Linked DNA regions of Canis lupus familiaris. The protein of the gene in region 1 purifies or fractionates together with the protein of each later gene. This does not show direct contact. Links are inferred from orthologs where the notes say so. Each region holds a gene or a part of one and is shown in the gene's direction. Other genes may lie near its edges.

Evidence for each region.
Region 2: the proteins of ZNF687 (region 1) and ZMYND8 purify together in Homo sapiens (affinity purification with mass spectrometry; 4 studies listed by BioGRID and IntAct, with this or other methods). This does not show direct contact. The link is inferred for Canis lupus familiaris from reciprocal best matches to the Homo sapiens genes ZNF687 and ZMYND8.

Annotation. Positions count from the first base shown.
Region 1 is NC_049238.1:61,012,197-61,015,532, forward strand, and holds part of ZNF687 (zinc finger protein 687), read left to right. Parts: intron 1-300; 5' UTR 301-317; coding exon 318-2,423; intron 2,424-2,569; coding exon 2,570-2,748; intron 2,749-3,045; coding exon 3,046-3,222; intron 3,223-3,310; coding exon 3,311-3,336. UniProt on the Homo sapiens protein: May be involved in transcriptional regulation.
Region 2 is NC_049245.1:35,085,344-35,089,727, reverse strand, and holds the start of ZMYND8 (protein kinase C-binding protein 1), read left to right. Parts: upstream 1-1,546; 5' UTR 1,547-1,687; intron 1,688-4,384. UniProt on the Homo sapiens protein: Chromatin reader that recognizes dual histone modifications such as histone H3.1 dimethylated at 'Lys-36' and histone H4 acetylated at 'Lys-16' (H3.1K36me2-H4K16ac) and histone H3 methylated at 'Lys-4' and histone H4 acetylated at 'Lys-14' (H3K4me1-H3K14ac).

The DNA of each region.
Region 1 (3,336 bases):
TGAACTTCCTCCGTCTCTGTTACCCTTGTTTCTCTACTGTGTCTCTGAGAAGTTTCTTTTCTTCTGCTTTCTCTGAATCTCGGTGTCTTCCCTGGAATGTGCACATAACCTACCTTTCAATTTTAGGGTTTGGCAAACCAGGTGCCCCCACCAGCTCTAGGATTTGTGATGTGGTAAAAGTGTACCCAAGGAGATTGCGCATGGTCCCAAGAGGATAAATATGGAGATCCTGAGGGAGGAGGGCCAGGGTTCCTGCCCTCAGAGGGCTCAATTTCTTACTCTTTTTTCTGTTTTCATCAGGTCTGGGACCTGCTGCCATGGGGGATATGAAGACTCCTGATTTCGATGATCTCCTTGCTGCCTTTGACATCCCTGACATCGATGCCAATGAAGCCATCCACTCTGGGCCAGAAGAAAACGAAGGGCCTGGAGGCTCAGGAAAGCCGGATCCTAGTATAGGAGGTGACTCTGGAGAAGCACCGGCAGCAGCTGCCAGGGACAGCCCTGAGGTGCCAGCCCAGGCCTCTGATCACGGCCTGCCACCGCCAGACATCTCGGCAGTCAGTGTCATCGTCAAGAACACTGTGTGTCCTGAGCAGCCTGAGTCCCCAGCTGGGATTTCAGGAGGAGATGGGCCCCGGGCTGGGGGGGTGACTAAGGAAGGGCCTGTGGGGCCTCGTCTGATGCAAAATGGTTTTGGGGGCCCTGAGTCATCCCTTCCAAGTACACCCCACTCTCCAGCTCCTCTCAGTGGGGGTACCTGGAAAGAAAAAGCTATGGAAGGCAAAGCTACTTTGGACCTCTTTGCTCATTTTGGGCCTGAGCCAGGGGAGCACCCTGATCCCCTCCCTCCCCCAGCACCTTCCCCACCTCGGGAAGGGGCCATGACCCCACCTCCTTTCCCCTCTCCCTTTGAGCTGTCCAGGGAGAATGGCCCAGCCTTGCTGCCACCTGGTTCTCCCCCAGTACGGGGGACCTTGAAGCAAGACAGCTGCAGCCCCCTTCATCCTCAGGGCCTGGCCGGGCTAGGCTCTAGCTTGAGCCCTGAGGCCACGGGTATTCCTGCCAGCGCCTCCCCTCCCCAGGTTGCTGGGTTGCCCTTCTTCAAGCAGTCTCCAGGGCATCAGAGCCCTCCTGCCTCCCCCAAAGTGCCCTGTTGTCAGCCCCTGAAGGAAGAAGAGGAGGAGGGGCCGGTGGACAAGCCTTCCCCAAAAAGTCCCCAGAGCCCCTCTAGTGGAGCTGAGGCTGCAGATGAGGACAGCAATGACTCCCCTGCTTCTTCCAGCTCCTCAAGGCCTCTCAAGGTGCGGATCAAGACCATTAAAACATCCTGCGGAAATATCACAAGGACTGTAACCCGGGTCCCCTCAGACCCTGATCCTCCTGCCCCCTTGGCTGAGGGGACCCTCCTGGCTGAGGCTGGCCTCCTAAAGCTATCCCCTGCAACCCCGACCCCCGAGGGTCCAAAGGTGGTGAGCGTCCAGCTGGGTGACGGCACGAGGCTGAAGGGCACCGTGCTGCCTGTGGCCACCATCCAGAATGCAAGCACTGCTATGCTGATGGCAGCCAGTGTGGCCCGCAAAGCTGTGGTTCTGCCAGGGGGCACTGCCACCAGCCCTAAGACTATGGCTAAGAATGTGCTAGGTCTGGTGCCCCAGGCCCTGCCCAAGGCGGAGGGGCGGCCAGGGCTGGGGACTGGGGGGCAGAAGGTGAACGGTGCCTCAGTGGTGATGGTGCAGCCTTCCAAGCCGGCCACCGGGCCAGGTGCAGGGGGTGGCACGGTGATCTCGCGGACCCAGTCCAGCCTGGTGGAGGCCTTCAACAAGATCCTCAATAGCAAGAACCTGCTGCCTGCCTACCGGCCCAACCTGAGTCCCCCCGCCGAGGCCGGGCTGGCCCTGCCTCCCACGGGCTACCGCTGCCTCGAGTGCGGGGACGCCTTCTCACTGGAGAAGAGCCTGGCGCGGCACTATGACCGCCGGAGCATGCGCATTGAGGTCACCTGCAACCACTGCGCCCGCCGCCTGGTCTTTTTCAACAAATGCAGTCTGCTGCTGCATGCCCGAGAGCACAAGGACAAAGGGCTCGTCATGCAGTGCTCACACCTGGTCATGAGGCCCGTCGCCCTGGACCAGATGGTGGGGCAGCCAGACATCACGCCCCTGCTGGCTGTCCCACCTGCCTTCGGACCTCCAGCCTTGCCTGCCCTGGGCAAGGGTGACGCGGCTGTCGCTGGCGCTATTACTGCTGTCGCCGCCGAAGCCCCTGTGCTACCACTGTCATCTGAGCCGCCTGCTGCCCCTGCCACCTCGTCTTACACATGCTTTCGCTGCCTAGAGTGCAAGGAGCAGTGCCGGGACAAGGCAGGCATGGCCGCCCACTTCCAGCAGCTTGGGCCCCCGGCCCCTGGGGCCAACAGCACTGTGAGTTGCCTGTCCCAGCTCTCCCCGGGGCTGGAGCCCAACGCTCTGGGAGTCAGATCTGGGAAGATGTTGGGGGCTCGGTCAGGGGAGGTCATGGGGTCGGGCCTCTCCTTGCTGACTTACCTTGTCTCCACTCCTGTTGACAGGTATGCCCAACCTGCCCCATGATGCTTCCCAATCGCTGCAGCTTCAGTGCCCACCAGCGCATGCATAAGAACCGGCCTCCCCACGTCTGCCCTGAGTGTGGGGGCAACTTCCTACAGGCCAATTTCCAGACCCATCTCCGGGAGGCCTGTCTACATTTGTCTCGCCGTGTAGGATACAGGTGCCTCCTGCCTCTCCTCCCTGGAGCCTTGTGACTGTTTCCCCACTGCCACCTCCTCCCCCCACCCCCTGGCACTTTATGGCCTCGTGTGTCCCAGCACCAGGCTTTGAGCTGGCCTGTCAGGGAGAGCCCCATCTCCTGCTGAACCCCTCAGCCTCAGATTGGTCTGCTCTTGCCCTGCTCCCGTGGAGAGGGGAGAGAGCTCCGGTTCGGCCTCCATAGGCCTCCGGCTAGGAGCAGGGCCCGGGGGACAGGCTGGAGACACCCTGCCTCACCTCAGCGCCCCCTGCCCCCCAGGTGCCCCAGCTGTGCGGTGGTGTTCGGGGGCGTGAACTCCATCAAGTCCCACATCCAGACGTCGCACTGCGAGGTTTTCCACAAGTGCCCCATCTGCCCCATGGCCTTCAAGTCTGCGCCCAGCGCCCATGCCCACCTCTACACCCAGCACCCCAGCTTCCACACGCAGCAGGCCAAGTGAGACCTGGGAGGGAGCAGGGTGGGCTGGAACGGGGTCGGGGTCCTGATGGGCAGGGTGTCTGCACTGTCCTCTCCGCCCACACAGGATGATCTACAAGTGCGCCATGTGTG
Region 2 (4,384 bases), on another chromosome or scaffold:
GTCTATTGCATTCCTGCTGTGTCCCAGCACTGACAGCAGGACCAGGCACATAATAGACACTCAATAAACTGTTCTTGAAGGAACAAATAAACCCCAGGCCTTGTAACAGCTGCAGGAACATGAGACCGTGGCCTTAAGAGACTCACGTTCCCATGTGGGTGCCGGAAGTAAATAGATGAATAAAATACATGCAGTGGGCAGGTGGTGATCAGAGCAAGGAAGAGAAATAAAGCAGGTGTACTGTTTTCCGAGGACTATAGTAACCAAGTACCACAACCTGGGCACAAACAGCCGCTATTTATTGTGTCTCAGTTCTAGAGGCCAGAAGTCTGAAACCAAACTGTGGGCTGGGCCCTGCTAGTCTGAAACCTGCTGGAGAAAACTTGTAGGCTCCTTCTTGCTTCTGCTGGTCTATAGGCACTTTTGACTCTCCTTGGCTTATAGACACCTCACTCCAACGCTGTGTCTTCACAAGACCTTCTTCCTGTACTTCTCACATCCTCTTCTGTGCCTGTCTCCGTGTCCAAATTTGTATGTAAAGACACCAGTCTTATTGGATCGGGGTCACCCTCATGACCCCATTTTAACTTCATTACCTCTGTAAAGATCCTGTTTCAAAAAGGCCCCATTCTGAGCTACTGGGGTGGGCGTGGGAGGTTGAACATATCATTTGGGGGGGGACACACCGTTCAACCCCCTAACAGCAGGGTATGAGGTTGAAGGGTGCTGCTTTAGGGAGGGGGTAAGGGAAGGCCTGGGTTGGTGACATTTGAGCAGAGTTCTGAATGAAGAGAGGGGGTGAGTCCTAGGGACATCTGAGGGAAGGGCATTGCAAGGAGAGGGAATGGCCAGTGCAAAGCATTGTAATCAAGATACCTGCCTCACTGAAAAAAAATCGAAAAAGAAAAGTCAATAAAAAATGTAAAAATTAAAAATAAAAATAAATTTAAAAAATAAAAATGATAAAAATAAAATTTAAAAATAATTAATTAATTAAAGAAAAAAGAGAGAGAGAGAGATACCTGACTTCCAATGCTGTGAGGATTCAGTGGCTTAATAGATGAAAAAAATCTAAAAGCTGGCACATAATTAGCAGGCGGTCAGATCATCACTGTTATCCATCCTTTTTCCAGGCTTTGCCTCCGTGCCTGCTGTGGGGCTGGGGATCCAGAGTGAGCTAGTCAGACACTATCTGGTCTTGGTGGTGCTCAGGGCCTAGCTGGGGAGACCAAGAGCCAGCAGGTCAATATATAAGAGGAGCATATAGGGGATCCCTGGGTGGCTCAGTGGTTTAGCGTCTGTCTTCGGCTCAGGGTGTGATCCTGGGGTCCTGGGATCAAGTCCCATGTCAGGCTCCCTGCATGGAGCCTGCTTCTCCCTCTGCCTGTATCTCTGCCTCTCTCTTTCTCTGTGTCTCTCATGAATAAATAAATAAAATCTTTAAAAAAAAATCAAGAGGAGCATGTGGTCTGATGGTTGATAACCTCAGCGCTCAGTCCAGCAGCGTGATGTCATAGAGGGTGACTGCTGGGTGGGGCTGGGTATCTCTGGAAAAGGCCTCTCTGTGAAGCTGAAGGATCTCTCCAGATGAGCATGTCCTTAGGGGAAGTCCCTGGAGAAACATCTGCTGGTCAGAATGAGATCCCTGACCAGGCTGGCATTGGTCATGGGAGGAAGCACCCCAAAGGTAAAAACCCAATGAAAATGCCTCCAAGTCACTTCTGGTTCATTATAAAGACCATGAGTCCTGATTAAATGGGTCTCAGACCCTAAATTTGCATACCACCCCTCATGGCCCTGTCATTTGTATCCCCGAGACCAGAAAACATCCATGGGAAACAGAAAAAAATTCCCTGAGTCAGACCCCAATGTTCATGTCTGACTTCAGGTCTAGGTGGATGCAATTAAGAGGAGGTACCGTGGATGTCTGTGTTTACCTGGTGGCCTATTCTCCAGAAGAGCTAATCAGCATGTCCATCCCATAGCTCCGTATTCTCAAAGGGTTCTCTGGGATGGATTCAACACATCTCCTCAGATACCCTAGAAAATCCTTTTCTCCTGGGAAGTCATTTATTCCCTTACTGTTTCAGGGCGATTTGCCAGCAAATGGGAGGGTATGGCAGGTGTTTAATGACTACCGAAAGCAACTGTGTTGAATTAAGTTCTCAAAATCCCTTCTTCCCAGCAAAAAAACAACCAGCATGGCTGCTTTGACATTCCACGGTCATGTTTCTTGCCTTCCAAAGCTACATTTTGTTATTTTGCTTCATTTCGGAAGAAAAGCCCAAAACCCTTTTAAGCTTAACCATCCCCTCTCCTGCACTTCCCCTCCCACCCCCCCATAGTTGGTGCTATGGAGAAAGCTCTGGAAGGCAGACCTGAGTTCAAGACCCAGAACAAGGAGGGAGTAAGAGGGAGACAGGGAGAGCACACAAGACCATTCACCCTCTTATGTCATGGGGACTCTGGTGGGTTCTAGTCACTCATTCCATAAATATTTATGCAGTGCCTCCTAAGGGCCAGGCACTGTGCTGGGCTCTAGGGGGTCCACCCCTAAACCCAAAGACAAGTGCCCGCCCTTTGGCAGCTTGCAGTTTACTGTTCAGTCACATCTGATCGAAGAGTCCAGAAGAGTTTCAGCATGAGAATCCTAAAGACCAGGGATTTTGCTTATTGGCCCTCCCTCTGATTTAACAGTCTTCGGTTTTTCTCCTCTGTAAAATCGGTTCAGCTATCCTTGCTGCATAACTCAGAAGGCTTTGTGGTGAGGGCCCCGGGAGATGGTGTCCAGAAAAATGGAGTGGGAGAGTGGCCATTCTGGTGGCTCTTTATGGCATCTGTACTAGGTGGTAAGAGCTAGAGTCTTTAACTAACCCTAAGTGGCCAGTACCGTGAATTCCCTTTATTCAGAGCCAAAAACAGATGGGAGGGGTTGAGTTGCCCTTCCAAGAGGCTCAGGACTCCAAAGCAGACAGTTACCTGAGAGTACAAAATGCTTTGATGAGGGTTTGATGAGACCAGAGAGTTTAGGGGTGCCAGATTAAACACAGAATATACTTGTTTTTTATTTTTATATATATATTTTTAATTTTTATATATTTTAATATATTTTATTTATTTATTTATGAGAGACACACAGAGAAAGAGACAACATAGGCAGAGGGAGGAGAAGCAGGCTCCATGCAGGGAGCCCGATGCAGGACTCCATCCTGGGACTCTGGAATCATACCCTGAGCCAAAGGCACTCAACCACTGAGCCATCCAGGCGTCTCAACACAGGATATACTTAAACTAGAAAATTGTTCATTTGAAATTCAAATTTAACTGGGCATCCTGTATTTTCATTTGCTAAGCTTGGCCACCCTATAAGAGGTTCTGATGTCAGGCTGGGGGAGGCCTGAGGCATCAGAGTGAGCCCGTTCCTGGGGCTGGTGTGCCAAAGGGGTGGGTAAGAGCAGTGAGAACAGGTAGGGGAGGGAGGGCCCAGAAGCCAGGTGGTTTCTGCAGCCATCTGTCCCAGGGTAACCCACCACATCAGCCAGTGGGCTTTGGCTTAGGAATTTTGGGCTTAGGTCCTCAGCAGCTCTAGTGTTGGAGCTGCTCCTGTGTACGCCCCGTAGTTTAGGCTGAGCTGGGCCTGTGGGGCAGCTCCTCTGGGCCACGCCCAGTTTCACCTGACTTGCCCATCACTGTAGCTCCTTATATAACCCAGTACCCCCACCAAGCTTCAGTCTTCTTGTGTCCTCATTAAAGCTCGACTTTCCCAATGCTTTCACTTGAAAATTAGAGATCTGGGCATCCTTGCAATTGACTCATTCAGCCATTTCCTGTTCAACATTCACCAAATTACTTCTGAGCACCTGCTATGTGCTGGAGAGATACAGAATTGGACAAAATAGACACTCAATTAGGAATCAGATAAAGTTATACCCAGTTGTTAAGTATGTAGTAGGTATTAAATTATGATTGCCATAAGAACCATGGGGGCAAGACATAATAGGGTGGGTGTGTCTGATTTGTTGGGGAGTCCACAAAGCCTACCCTGAAGGAATGAATTTTGAACTGGGTTTTGAAGGATGAGTAGGAGTAACCTGAGAACAACAGTGGTACCAAACACTGCTAAATAACCTCTTTTACTACGGGAACTAATATGATTCTCTAAATTCTATGACACTATGTGGTGGTATCCACATTTTATTGGCCCAGAGAGATTTCTTTTCCCCCCAAAGATTTCACCCATTTATTCACAAGAGAGAGAGAGAGAGAGAGAGAGGCAGAGACACAGGCAGAGGGAGAAACAGGCTCCACCATGCGGGGAGCCCGATGCGGGACTCGATCCTGGGACTCTAGGATCACGCCCTGGGCTGAAGGCGCTGCTAAACCG